Linked DNA regions of Rhinolophus ferrumequinum. The protein of the gene in region 2 interacts with the protein of the main gene of each other region in a pairwise test. Links are inferred from orthologs where the notes say so. Each region holds a gene or a part of one and is shown on either strand. Other genes may lie near its edges.

Evidence for each region. The genes of interacting proteins can lie anywhere in the genome.
Region 1: the proteins of BANP (region 2) and TOX4 interact in binary tests that used the Homo sapiens proteins (3 or more experiments, as listed by UniProt). The two-hybrid records come from large-scale screens. The link is inferred for Rhinolophus ferrumequinum from reciprocal best matches to the Homo sapiens genes BANP and TOX4.

The regions. Positions count from the first base shown.
Region 1 is NC_046289.1:72,280,087-72,287,790, reverse strand, and holds the start of TOX4 (TOX high mobility group box family member 4), read right to left. Parts: upstream 3,088-7,704; 5' UTR 2,997-3,087; coding exon 2,991-2,996; intron 2,782-2,990; coding exon 2,713-2,781; intron 2,395-2,712; exon of another isoform or gene 2,377-2,394; intron 1-2,376. Other genes in the region: RAB2B (ras-related protein Rab-2B), read left to right, coding at 3,403-3,448, 3,672-3,743, 6,170-6,237. UniProt on the Homo sapiens protein: Transcription factor that modulates cell fate reprogramming from the somatic state to the pluripotent and neuronal fate. In liver, controls the expression of hormone-regulated gluconeogenic genes such as G6PC1 and PCK1.
Region 2 is NC_046298.1:32,663,904-32,671,081, reverse strand, and holds the start of BANP (protein BANP), read right to left. Parts: upstream 3,046-7,178; 5' UTR 2,940-3,045; intron 1-2,939. UniProt on the Homo sapiens protein: Controls V(D)J recombination during T-cell development by repressing T-cell receptor (TCR) beta enhancer function. Binds to scaffold/matrix attachment region beta (S/MARbeta), an ATC-rich DNA sequence located upstream of the TCR beta enhancer.

The sequences.
Region 1 (7,704 bases), on a different chromosome or scaffold from region 2:
TTTTTATTGCTGTGTAGTATTCCTAGATATCTGGGTTGTTTCCAGTGCTTGGCTACTATGAATAAAGTTGCTGTGAATACACATATTTTTGGTGAATATATACATTCATTATATTTATATGTGTGTGTGTGTGTGTGTGTGTGTGTGTGTGTGTATATATATATGTCAAGGAGTGGAATTACTGGGTCACAGGGTAGATATGTTTATCATTTTCTTTTTTATAAGGAGGGCGCAGCTCACAATGGCCCATGCGGGGGTCAAACCGGTAACCTTGGTGTTATTAGTACCACGCTCTAACCAACTGAGCTAACCAACCACCCCTAGATATGTTTATCTTTAGTAGATACTGCCAGTTTTCAAAAGTGGTTGAAATCAATTTATACTCTCACCAGCAATGATTAAGACTTATCCAACATCCTTTTCAACTCGTGGGATTGTCAGTATTTTTAATTTTAACCATTCTGGTGGCTGTGCAATGGTATCTCATTATTTTATTTCCCTAGTGAGTGATGACACTTTCTCATATGCCTAATGGCAATCTGGATAACCTCTTTTATGAAGTACGTGTTCAAATCTTTTGTCCTTACTAAGACTTATCAGGGTGATCACTTCATAAGTTATATAAATGTGTAATCACTATGTTGTACACCTGAAACATATAATATTATATGTAGCTCTAACTAAAAAAAGAAAAACTCTAGTGGTGGCAAAAAAAAAAGTTAATAACAGAGATAGGATTTGAACAGAGGTCTTTCCATCACTGTGCACTGCCTCCCATCATGACATTGCAAAGAATTCAGCACTTCGAAAGTATTCAATAAATAAATCCCTAACATTAACCAAAAAAAAATTTCTTGTGCCCATTTTTAAATTGGATTCTTTCTTTTATTGTGCAGAAGTGTTTGATATATTCTAAATATAAGTTAGATACATGTATTAAACTATCTTCTTGCAGTCTGTGGAGTGCCTTTTTAATTTCTTAATGATATCTTTCAATGAAAAGAAACTACTAATTTAAAAGAAATCCCATTTTTCAATTTTTTTAAGGTCAATACTTTTGTGGACATCTTTTTCTTGCAAGAAAACTCTAAAAATCACTCTTCTTCTAAAAGAAAAATTTTAAAATATTACCTTTACCTAGTTCTATGCGGCTTACAGTAAGACCAGATACAACAAAACCCACAAACCAATTAAAATAAAGGTTAAAAAAAAAACACCAAAAACCGGGAAGGGAAGGTGAAGAAATTGTAATGAGGAGAACTGTTAACAATGACAGAGTCCTAGGCTAAAAGAAGCCACTGAAATTTAGTTATGAGCTTGGCAAAATAGTTTTGTTTTTTAAAATTGCTCAAAGTCACAAAAGCAAAAACAAAGGATAGACTCAAACCTGGAAAATTTCTTGATGAGGCCAAGGTGAAATTTACAAACACTCTAAATAAAGAATTTAAATTCTGGATACCTGATTTAGAAGAAATTGGCAATGATGGACTTTTCATGTGGATATGGCCAATGTGAGATTTACAATACTCCTAATAATGAAATTAAATCATGGAGCTATCACTCAGAAGAAACTGGCAATGAGACTACAAAGCATCAGACAGATTTTAGTTTTATATCGTTTCTAAATTTGCTGCTCATTTGATTCACACTTTCCTCTGCTTAGTTAAATAATAATAATAGCAATAAAGAAGTTAAAAACTAGCAATTGCCCCATGTCGATTTAATTCTCATTCATGAAAACGTTAGGATTTATTACAGGATAAGCCCATTCAACAGCAATTGAGAATTCTTGGTACGAAAAAAAAAAAAAACTGATGCAAATGGGTCACACCACTTTTGGGGAAAAAAAAATTAAAGTCCTCAAAAGACAGTAGAAAGCTCAAGATTTCAGAGTTTCTCAAAGAACAGGAAATTTATTCTTGTCTATTCCATCTTTCTCTTTGCCTTGCCTAAGTAAATGACACATATCTATATTATGACAATTATTTCAACAAAACTTTTCTACAAATACTGAAAGGACCTCACCATAATCATCACTTCTACCTCACAACATCGTAAGAAACTATTATTACAGCTATTTGACAGCTGGGGAAACTGACATACAAAGGTGACCTAACCTCCCCACAATGAGTCACTGGCAAACAGAAACACATGTTCTACTTCCTTCATGTTTTCTGGCAACTACGTATTTCCTTTCATCCTTCACTAGCAAAACAAGCTAACACCATGTACGTTAACATAACTATTAACTTTTTTTTTATCACTGAGTAGAAAATTAATATGAAACAAAGACCCCTAACAAAGTTTGGTTCAAGAATGAACAATGCTCACAGTTAACCCCTGCTGGGTAAACTCCTCTCATCCCAATTTCTTTACCTAAAATATTCTCCTCCTCCTTCAATCCCCCAAGATTGTCGTAGTTATTTCTCCCCAACGTAAAGAGAAAGACAATTCCATTCAGTCTTCAAATCCAGAATCACTCTGAAATACGCTAGCGCTTTCCAACGTCCTGCTTTTCTGATGACAGCAGCTTCCTGGGTCTACCCCTTAGTCCTCATAGGCTCTAGAAGCAGCTGCCACTTTTCTCTAAACACCAATCGCGGCCCCTGGTTCCCATCCCCCGGTCCCTGGCGCCCTCTCCTCCCCACCGCCCTACCCCACCACTGCCTCTCGCCCTCCCCCCCGCCCCCAGCATCGGCACCTCGTGCTCACCTCGGCCCCTGACAGGAAGGGGTGCGAGGGCCCTGTGATCGTCAGGTAATTGTCATTTCCTCCGGGAAACTGGAAACCAAAAGAAAGCCGCGGGGATAAGTTAGGGGGAGCAGGGAGTTAGCTTGTAGCGACGGATTCTGACCCCGACATTCTGACAACACTCCCCAAATCCCGCTCTCTCCCGTCCTGTCAGCCGCCTCTCCGCCCAGCTTCCCGCCTCTGCTTCAACCCGGTCGGTCGCACTCTCTTGTCAGCCTTCTTAGCGCTCAGGTTCCTACCTCCATTTTCACACAACGGCTATCACCGTCTCAGTCCCCTCATCGCTCCCACCGCCCCCACAAGACTCGGAACTGCCGTCACTTCCGCAAGGACATGCGTCGCTCTTCGCTGATTGGAAGGGGCGCGGTAGGGCTGTTACGAGTCAGACCCGGGAAGGCCGAAAGGACGGAAAGGCTAGCTATCGCCCCCTGGAGCTTGGTGGGATAATGGCACATAAGAGTGTTACAGGCGACCCTGGAATCGGTGTCTGGGTATTACCGTCGCTCCGACCAGGAGAGGATTTCTGGGGAGAGCAATAGAGATGTGATCTGGGCTAGAGGGGCTGGAGATCGGCGGATTGAGTGGCTAGACAGGCCGGAGGTAAGTGGCTGTAGAAGTCGGGCGGACCCGGAATCCAGAGGAAACGGGACCATGACTTATGCTTATCTCTTCAAGTACATCATCATCGGGGACACAGGTAAACAGCGGGCGACTGCCCTGATAGCTGGGGCGGGGATTCGAAGTTCCCAATTCGGGTCGTGGGGGCGGGGCTCAGTGGGCTGGGCGATTAGGTGAAGAGGGGGCGGGGGCAGGGCGGCCGGGGGCGGGGCTCGGGGCTCCCCTTCCCCAGTGCCGGACACCCCGACTCGGGACCGCTCCCGGGCGGCGTGACTCCTTGAGCGTGCGTCCTCCTCTTTAAGGTGTGGGGAAGTCATGTCTCCTCCTGCAGTTTACAGACAAGCGGTTCCAGCCTGTTCACGACCTCACAATAGGTAAGTGCATCTACCTGTGCCTGAACAGATAATGAAACATGACTAGCTAAAGTGAAAAGTTAGCAGCCTTCAGGGTTCAAAGTAAAAAGTTAGCTCCGCCTACTTATAAAATAGTCCGAAGTTGTGTTAAATGAAGAGTGACCAATCAAATGCTGTAAATGGGGAGTAGTGTAATGGGGAGCAAATAATTGAAAAGTAACTTTAGAGATGAGCATGAGGTATGAATAAGTTCTTTTTGTTTTTCCAAATGCAATTTGAATGTTTGGAAAATCCTACGAAAGCTAACTAATTCAAAAACTCACCTTACTTTGCGGTAAATTAGTGCTAGCCTCACGTGTGTGTGTTTGTGTGTGTGTGTGTGTGTGCGCGTGTGTGTATGTTAAGTAATTACCAATATACAGATTTTTGTGTGTGTTGGAGAGGAAGAAGAAAATTCAAGAGTCATCCTAGACTTAAAAGGTAGCTGAAACTAATAACTTTTGTTAAAAAGTGTGATAGAGTTCCAGGAGATTCTGGAAAGTATAAACATTTCCTACGTATTTGTGATAAGGCATGGCCTGATGGGGCTTTAGCAACCCCTGCCCCATAATATCCATAACCTCAACCGAAATAAAGAATGCATATAAAACTAGCCTCCTTGCCATGCAAACACAGTTTCTGAATAAAATCCCTAGCTCCCATTCTTACCATATTGTAGATTCTTACCATCTACAGTCCCACCTTACTGAAATCTGAAGCTACTGCTGCTCCCACAGGACTTATTCAGAGCCAAACAACTAAAGGTTGAAAATAATTTAGAGGGTAGCATCAACAGGAAAATATTTTTTTGGAAATGAATGTTAAGTGGACACCCACACTGTGATAAACTAATGATACAGTGTGTAAAAAGGCAAACATTGCGCTTGCCCTTAAGTAGCTTACAGTCTTCCCGTGTAGCAGGTGGGGCTGGGGGTAGATATAGTGTACTGACAAGTAAATTTTTATTGCAAAAAGGGAGGAGAGGATGCCTTTATCAGGAAAGGCTGAAAACTGAAGAATGAGCAGGACTTAGCCAGGCAAAGGGGATATAGAGATGAGGGAAAAGTGATCAGGGCAGGAAAGAATAACATATGCAGAAGCTTATGAATGACAGAGATCAGGCTGCCTTTGGAAAACTGTAAGTAATTTGACACGTTTGGAGCATGAAATTTGAAGTGGAGAATGACAAAAAATAAAGCTAGAAAATAAAATAGAGACTAAGTTTTGAGACACCTGAAGGCAATAGGAGTAAATGACAAGTTTTAAAGCGGAGGAATGACGTGATCAAGTTTTCCCCAGAGTCCAAAATGTGCTGTTTCTTTCTGAAGTCAATCCTTTGTACCAAAATAAACAAGGCAGTTGGATAGAAAATATGTGCAAAATGAAGGGTCTCTGAGTGCATAACTAGAGAAAGTTGCATAAAAGGATACAAAGTTTTATTTTTCAATTCTTCCCCATTGAAATTCCATTCCTATTGTCCAGAAGGGAAAAAAAATAGTGACTTTTTGCAGTAGCTATCACTATTCTTGATGAAGCAGTCTAGAGTAGTAAGAAACATTTTTTCTTTATATCATATTGACTTGAGCACCTTAGAGTTGAGGGTGATATTTTGATGCATTGTATGTGGGACCACTGAATAGGTGCATATCAGCCCATTATAAGAAGCTAGATTAGTCCTCTTTCTTACTTGGAAATCAGAATTCCTCAAGTAAAGTACTGTATAAAAAATAGGAAATAGAACAAATTGTCTGACATATGATCAAGTGTTTTTAATATAAGTGACCTTTGATTTTTAATTTTTGTCCTGATCTTACCTTGAAAGAAGATGAATGCCAGGTAAACCAAAGTCTTTATTGAGATTGTCAGTTTCCATACTCCTATGAGGAAGGCTGTTTTCTGATGAACTCTGGGAATTATTGGAGATCTGAAATATATTATTTTTGAGAACTTATTTCTTAGGTAGGCTCTTTTCTCAAAAAATCTAGAATTGCAAAAAAATATTGTTCCATATAGAGGAGTAGAGAGTGACTTTGAGAAAAATGCTAGGAAATATTTTTTAAAATTTTAGAAGTTTTTTAAAAAGTTACAAAATTAAACATTATCTAATCAAATTAAGCGTTAATTAACATTGCTAAAAATTTACTCACCTTTTCTGTTTGACTTCTTAATTCATTTTATCCCCATATCTGCTTTTTGGTTACATTCTTGAAGTCATTATCACCTAGAACACAGTTTTTAATTCTAGAAAAGAAATGAAACTTCAAGAAACAAAAAACTAATTGGCTCAAATAGTGGCACTGAGTGCAGACAGAGGACGAGTCACTAGCACATTGAAAAATAGCATGAACTTCTCACTCAACATGGCTGTTCATGACAACCACATTTTTTCTCTTGATCTTCACTGACAGGTGTGGAGTTTGGGGCCCGTATGGTCAACATTGATGGAAAACAAATCAAACTGCAAATCTGGGATACGGTGAGAGAGGACAAAATCATTTACTCCCTGACCAGATCCAAATACAACACTAAAGTCTGATGGAGGGGAAAGGGCTATGAGGATGGGAGCTAATGGTGGAGATCAGAGTAGGGGAAGAGTAAAGTCGAAGATATAGGGAAGCTTTCATTTTCCTCTGTTACAGTTACAGATATGAATGTCATAGTTTTAAATTTTTGTTTTAAATTACCTACGTAATATATGAGTCTGTTCTAGTAAAAAATAAAAGCAACCAATATAAGTGTATAGAGTAAAAGGTTAAATTCCCCTTTGCACACATAAACCTCTCTCCCTCCCAATCTTGGTTTCTGCGTTACCAGAGTAACCCACTATCATTGATTCAGACTTTTTCTCTGTATTTAGATACATAAATAGAAACAAATATATGGTAGTGGTTTTGCTTTTATTAGTTTTTAGAATTGTGGCAAAACAGACCTAGCTTTGTGACTAAGGTATTTTTTTTTTAGCGATCTTTATGTTTTGTAGACTTTCCCATGTCAGTACATACAAATCTACCTTATTTCTTTTTTCAATTTTTTAAAATTTTAAAGTCACCTTATTTTATTTCTTTTTAAATTAGTTTTAGGTGTGCAAAACAATGTAATAGTTAAATATTTATACCCCTCACAAAGTGATAACCTCCCCCAGTCTAACATCCCTCTGACATCGTGTATTGCTGTTACAATTCCATTGACTGTATTCCCTATGCTGTACTCAGCATCTTGTGGCTACACACACACACACACACACACACACACACACACACGTTTATTTATTTATTTATAGTTGACATTCAGTATTATTCGGCTTCAGCCTCAGGTGTACAGTACAGTGGTCAGGCGTCTACCCAGTCCATGAAGCGGTCTTCCTAATAAGAGAAGTGCCCATCTGACACCATACAAAATTTTACAACATTATTGATTGTATTTCCCAAACTGTCTTTCATATCCCCATGGCAATATTGTCTACTACATGTCTACGAATGTCTACTAAAACATGTCTACTAATTTGTACTTCCTAATTCCTTTACCTTCTCTCCCATCCCCACCCCCTCCCATCTAGCAACCATCAGTTTGTTTGTTTTTCTCTTATATCTCTGAGTCCATTTCCATTTTGTTTGTTCATTTATTCTGTTCTTTAGATTCCGCATGTAAGTGAAATCATATGTTATTTGTCTTTCTCCATGTGACTTATTTCACATAATATTCTCTAGGTCCATCCATGTCTTAGCAATTGGTAAGATTTCATTGTTGTTTATGGCCATTGTATAAATGTACCATAGTTTCTTTATCCAGTCATCTACTGATGGGCATTTCGGTTGTTTCCATGTCTTGGCTATTTTGACTAACACTGCAATAAACATAGGGGTGCATATATTTTTTCAAATTAGTGTTTTGGATTTCTCTGGATAGATACCCAACAGTGGAATTGCTGGGTCATAAGGTAATT
Region 2 (7,178 bases):
TAAGAAGACAATGATGGCAGTGACACTAAATGAAATGAGAGATCACAGAACAAAAAAGAAGTGGGGAAAAAAAATCCTTATTGGTATCCTCAGAGTCAACAAGATAATGCATTCAAAAAACAATAAGCTACTATGAAAAAGGAACAGAACAAATACACACTTGGAAATTAACATTTCAATTATGGAAATAAAAATGTTAAATAGGATTGGAAGATAAACTGAAGCCCTCTCCCAGAAATAAGAACAAAATGACACAGGAAGATAAAGACAAGAGATTCAGGGGCTCAAGATATCCATCATCAAACTAACAGGAACTTGGAAAGGAGAAGAGTAAAAGCAGAGAGGAAGAAATTCTCAAGTAAATGATACAAGACACTTTCCCAGAACTGAAGGACAAGGCCCCAGAAACAAAGAGCGTTTGGAATGGGACTCTCCATCCTCTGGCACTCTGGAAATGTCCTAAAACCAAAGAGGACCCTAAAAAGTCACGCGAAAGGAGGAAGGCGACTTGGCAGAAGGTTCTCATTGAAATGAAGAAAGCAAAGATTAAAACATGGAGTCCTGAACTCAGATGTATAATAAAGGAAAATATCAGGATACCTGTGGTGGCATAGAGTACTCAATCCAGATCAGAAAAAGAGAACAGAGGAATCGGGAGGAGGGGGAAGTTTGGAGAGACTTGACTCTATCCTTGAGAATTTGAAACAATTTAAGCAGCCAATAGGAGCAGACAATGCAAAGAAAAAGAAAGGCCAATACAAACAATAGGAAAAACAAATAGCTGTATAAGAAGGGTAAGTGCTACTTGGCTGCCGAGCAAACAACTTTTGCATTGTTACAAACAAAGAGTTAACTGAACACAGTGAATTCAGGGGCTGAAAGAGGTGGAATATGATCTGAAGAGCTAAACAGTATCATAACAGAAAGTCAAAAATGTGTATAATTAATAAAATACCAGCTTATCATTTAGAGCGATGGAAAATTTACTAAAGAAACAAAACGATGTAAAAGGTTGGACAGGCGACTACTACTTCTCATCATAAGTTTTTCATTGACATTTTATTATGTACCTTACTTCAAAATATTAAATATACGTATGTGTTATTTATTTTAAATGTTCACACCCTGGCTCTGTGTATCTTAGGCAAGTCACTTAAGCTCTGTGGACCTCAGTCACCTCATCTGTAAAACAGGACAGTCTCTACCTCACTGGGTGGTTGTGATGAGAGACATGGGAAATGATTAAGTCCCGGCCAACAGCACATGATCCCATAAATAACGACTGTTTTTTAAAAATTAAAACCAATGATGGCAGAACACAACATGAGAAGAACATATTCTGATTGCAACACAAAAGGTAAATGGAGCTGAATATAGAGAATTAATTTTACGGGCAGTTTTGGTGTTTTCTTTTACCACTGCATATTTGTACCCAGGGTGGTCAAAAGCTCCACGTTCATTGATCTAATCATGTACTTTCTGATGTAACCTTCCCTCCCTGAGGACCACTCAACTTTCCCACGTTATGTGTTTCCCAAACTTCCAGTTACAACTCCACCCTTAGAAAGGACTGTCTCCTCCCATCAACTAGTTTACCTTAGTGCTAGTTCTACCAACGCCCTCAGGCCTTGGAGTGCATTCCTCGGGGGTACAGTCAGGAAGAACAGGTAACTCGAAACAAAGAGCAATCACCTGTTTCCTTCCACAGACTCTAACCTGCCCAGGTAGGGCAGGCAAGCTCTCTGTCCTTGGAAGTTGCACTTGTTAACAGTTCTTATTTCTCCAATATGAAGACAATCCCTACCATCTCATCACTGAAAAAATCAGTCCTCTATTAATGTCTCCAATTCACTCACAGTGAGGTGCAATGTACATCGACTTTTTGCAGCCACGGTGGGGTGGGGTGGGTGGAGGGACTGCAAAGCAAAAAACTAAGGCCACATTTCAAAAGGATTACACCACAGAAATAGCAAAAAAAAGTATAGGGGTGAAAGAACCTGAAATGCTCCTTCATCGAGGCCGGGAGGAGAGCTGGATCCGGTCCTCTCCTAGGTCTACGGCAGTCTACTCCTAAAACGGCACCTTAGATCCCTACTTCCCTTTGTGAAACCGTAAGCAAATGAAGAGCACGCTGCTTGTGTTCCTGACTCTCGGGGCTCCATTTCACGTTAGGAACTCAGGGTGCCAACCGCGTCGGAAGTCGGCCTGACAGGAACTACTACACCGCAGGGTCTGTGGGTGCGTGTCCAGTTTTCCCATTTCCCAGAGAAAGGAGAGACCCAGCCTGCCCCTCCTGCAGCTGCAGGGCGGCCCTCGGGACGTCTGCGAGCACCTCTCGCAGGGCTGCGCCCCAAGTTTAAAGGCAGCTGCCGGCGGCCGGGCCTGTCACCCGCACCGTCCTAACCCGCGCACGGCATGACAATATGGGTGGGTGTGGGGGGGGTGCAAGTGCAAAAGAAAATTAATGAAATCAACAGTCTCCCGTGGGAAGAAAACGAGCCTGCGATCGGCCCTGTGACCCGGCCCCCCAGTATCGGGAATGTCGGGGGGACAGCGCCGTGCGCTCCCGGGAGGAGGCGCGGGGGGTCCTGGGGGCCGCAGAAACCGGGGGGCTGACAGGGAAGAGGGGGGCGGCGGGGCCTAGGGACGCTGAGGCCGAGGGGGCGTCCGCAGAGGTTGACAGAACTGAGGGAAGCGGCGGGGGAAGGACGGGTGACGGCAGGGCTCAGGCGGGCGGCGGGGCCCCGGGGCGCTAAGGGGGCTACCGGGCGGGGGTAGTGGGCCGTTGGCGGAACCGGCAGGGCGTCCCGGGAGGGGGCGGCGGGCGCGGCGGCCGGAGGAGGGTGCAGGGAGGAGGGAGGAGGGGAGATCTCGCTCTCGCTCTCGCCCCGCGGGAAGGGGGAGGTGGAGACGCGACCGGCTGCGGGAGCTGCAATTACCGTGTGGGCTGCGGAATTCTCGTGGTGTTTGTCGGGGAGATGCGATAATGGCGTCCGTCCTCGCGAGAGAAGCCGCCGCTCTGCGCAGGCGCCGCGAGTCCCTCCTCGAGGCCCTCTGCCCTGCACTATCTGCGCAGGCTCCCTGGGCGGGGCGCGCCGGGAGCGGAGGAGGGACCAGAGGCAGGGCCTGCCGCTTGAGGCCTCCCGCGCGCGCTTTCGCCCGCGCCGTCGACCGCCGGGCATGCGCACGCGTTGTACTCCAGTGCCACAGTTTGGGCCCCGAGGAGCTCTCACTTCCCCATGGTGTGTTAGGGCTCCTCGTTAACCCTTGAAAAATCGTGTCGGTGGGCCGTTGGAGGACTTTGCATTTTCTTTGAGACTAAATGAATTAAGAATTAGCTCCCCACCAACGACTACATATCCCGGAGGGCCCTGCGCGAACCGCGAGCAGTACATTCTGGGACTCGTAGTCCCGGCCTCTGCGCCTTGCCTGCCGGTACTTGTAGTCTCTCCATACTCCGGTAGCCCGGCCCGCGCCGTGGGCTGCTGGGACTTGTAGTTCAGATGCACTGGATCGCTGCGCCCCGCGTGTGCTGCTGCTTCCGCTCTGGCGGGGTTCCCCCAAAGAATAGGTGGTGCACAAGGGTCCCCAGTGTCATGTGCACAGTCTTGAGTGCACGCTCGTGGGGGAAGACTAAATTATATGTGATATATGTTTTGTATATAATTAATGTTATATATTGCATATAATCCGCGCCTATGTAAATATGAACTATTATATATGAATATAAATATAGTATGAATGTAAATATATTTATAGACCATAAATGCATGCTTGTGGGTACTCCTAGGAAAAAATTCCCAAACTATAGACAGCAATGTTTTTCCTACTTATTGTCATCACCATTGCTTTTCGTGCGTGCTGGGATTACTATTACTTTTCATTTTTCTTCTTTATACTTGCCTCTGTTTTCTGAGTTGTTTACTTTGAGCAAGAATTCCTTTGATCACCCAAACACAAGAGGATGGAGCTATTTTCATTTAGAAAATGAAATGCTTTACCATGAGTTTCCTGCTCATTTCTCTTTTGCCAATGATAAAAACTTGATTCAGGGCAGCAACCAGTTGTGCAACCTTGGGCAACTTTGTTGAGTTAGCCTCTCTTCCAGAGTTAACACTGGGGTTCTGCTGAGGCTGGTTACTGGATTCCTTTACCGAAAAAGTGCCTTAAAGGAATTCCAAAGAACCACAGAAGGTCAGCGCTGGAAAAGATATTGATATGGAAACGAGGTATGTCCTATGTAGAGATGAGAAGTCCAAAGAGATTGGAAAAATTGCTCAGCAAGGTCACAGGGCTGGAAAGAGACGAAAAGCACTGTGTGGAATCCAAAACACCTTGGTCTAGAGTCTACAGTCCGCTCACAGTGGGGAAAAATGATTGCAAAAGCTAACTACAAAAATCCTGAGAGAGGCATGGGGGCAAAAAAGTTCTTCTGTCCCCACCTCAGCCTCAGTTAGAGCCAAATCTAATACTTAACTATGTAAGCAGTCTTAACATTCTGCATCTGACTAGAAAGCAGATAAACGTAGGGTGATATTTTTCATATTATTTCAAAATATTCGAAAGTCCTCACCAGTAGCTCCCTTGCAGGTGTGGCTTTGCCAACACTCCTTCCTGCCCAGGGCTTGCACACTGCTTGGCTCCAAGCAACTGCTTACTGATCAGAAATTAAACCAATCAAAATTATAATTGTGCATATGCTGGAATCATTGACTTCTCTTTTTTGTTTTCAATGTTTCCAATTTACTTATTTTACATTTTGCTGCCCAGGAAGCTCAAATAGAGGAAGGTGTTCAATATTCACATCTCAGTGATTAACCATGGTTTTTTTCAAAAAACATTAAATCGCTTGAAATGGACCAAGACAGCTGTCTACCAATAAAGGGTCACTTCGGGACCACACAGGAGCCTTCTCCTTACCCATCAATTCATAGAAGACTCCAGTGGAAGTCCCCGGAGTTAATTAAGCTGAAGTCACGTTTGGTGGGCGGTTTATTAGACGAGAAGTGCACTCTGATCTGGATGGCACCAGAAATGGGGGACCCCTTAGATGTAGGTATGCAGGGCATTTGCAAAGATCTCAAAGGCCCCTTCTTCAAAACCACGCAATGCCCACTTTAAGCAAAATCTGGAATCCTTCAGAACAGTCCTGTTCTTGAATATGTCAGTAGGACGGAGAAAAGTGAATTATTCATGAAGTCCTTCGTTGTCCAAGAAAGCTTAGAAAATTGAGCTTAGAAAGCTTAGAAAGCTGTTCATAAAAGCAGAGCCATAAGAACAGGCCTGAACTGGGCTTTGAATCTAAGCTCTCTTGTGGCAAGTTGCTGAGGCTTCAAACTCACAGAATATGAGGCCCTGGGAAGGATTCAATGTCGCAGAGTTTCTAAAGGGTTTAGCAGAGGGCCTCACTCAGAAAATGGTAACGTTACTCGTGCTGAGTTACCATGCCTTGGGCCAGGCACATCTTGTTTTAATCCCTATTCTTTATGAAAAACATAAAGTTCAGAGAGATTAAGCAACACACCCAAGGTCACAGCCGTAGCAGTACAAGAACTTTGAGGAGGAAGTTTGTGACATGTGATGGAAAAGGTAATTAGGATGTGGGCCGTGTGGGTTGCAGGTCCTCGTTGGCCAAGGGATGAGTTTTGTCTTGATCCTAAAAATAATGGGAAGCCTTTACAAGGTTAGGGGCAAGGGTAGATATGATCATATTTGTGTTTTCAAAAGTCACTCTGGCTGGAATGTTGGAAAATCAATTGGGGGTGGGGAGGAAAGGTCCTGAGTGGATTTGGGGAGAGCACTTGAGGAAACGATGGCAGGCTTCCAGGCAAGAGACGATGGAGTCCTGAATTAAGGTGATCCTAGTGGAGACCAACATGCAGAGAAGTGGACAGACTCAAAGAGTGAAATCAATAGGACATGAGCATGAATCCAATACTGAGAGCAGGGTAAGGGAAGGAGGGCAGCTCGGATGCCTCATGGGTCTGCAAACATGTAAAACTGGATAGACAGAGTACCGTTCCCTGGGATGGGGAACTCTGAGCACCACTGGCCGCTGCCCACCATTGCTGTGGAGGCTGCCAGGAACAACGCTTCTTTGTTATTGGTCCAGCCAAGGGGGCCTCTTCTGTAATTCTTCCCCCATCCTCCGACACTTTCCTCTACTTCACACAAAGGCCCCCTTTGTGTAGGTTCCTAGCACCTGCTGGGAAAAGATCAGGTTGGGGGTGATCTGGAGTCCTGGAGATAGAGCCCACAAAATAATTCAGGGGAAATGGGAAGAAGGAGCACCCAGCACCCACTATAGTCCCATCTCCCCCTGGCATGAATTCCACTCAGACCTGGGACAGGCCACAGCCATACGTTCTGGGCCATCAAGAGATTTAAAGATTAGGAAGTGATGTCAGCCACAGGGCAGAATAGGGGTCCTCCATCATATCCTCCCTCAGCAGCAATAATTTGGCATCCATCCATGGACAGAAGTACCTTGGTGGGAACTTTGGGATGCCTAGGAGACTGTGAATCCCTGGTGGAACCCCAAATCATAAGGGCCATTTTGAGTCAGCTGCCACCGACTCAAATGGAAGACTCACTAACCTTGGTCTCAGCTACAGACACAGAAACAGACCATCCCCCTGTGGACGCGGCTACAGCTCCATTTGGCCTTGGTCCTGTCACCAGCATCATCCGCCGAGGAGGGATCCAGCAAGAATCAGACCTACACATGCCCCAGATAACAGGCCCAATGTATTTGGTTCTGGCTGTGGACCCTGAAGTAGCTTGGGACCCAACTCTAGCCCTTCTTAGCTGTGGTCCAGGGACAGTCCCAAGCCTCCCAGGGGGAGACACACCGTCCGTAATGTGATACACCACATTAACAAAATAGAAGATAAAAATTACATCATCTCAATAGATGCAAAAAAAAAAAAAGCATTTGACAAATTCAACATCCTTCATAATTAAACCTCTCAATAAATAAGGTACAGAAGGAACAAACTTCAACAAAATAAAGACCATATAACCGACAGCTAACATCATGCTCAATGGTGAAAGGTTGAAAGCTTTTCCTTTAAGTTCAGGATCTTAGTGCCCATTCTTATTCAACATAATAATGGAAGTCCTAGTCAGAACAATTAGGCAAGAGAAAGAAATAAAATGCATGCAAATCAGAAAAAAAG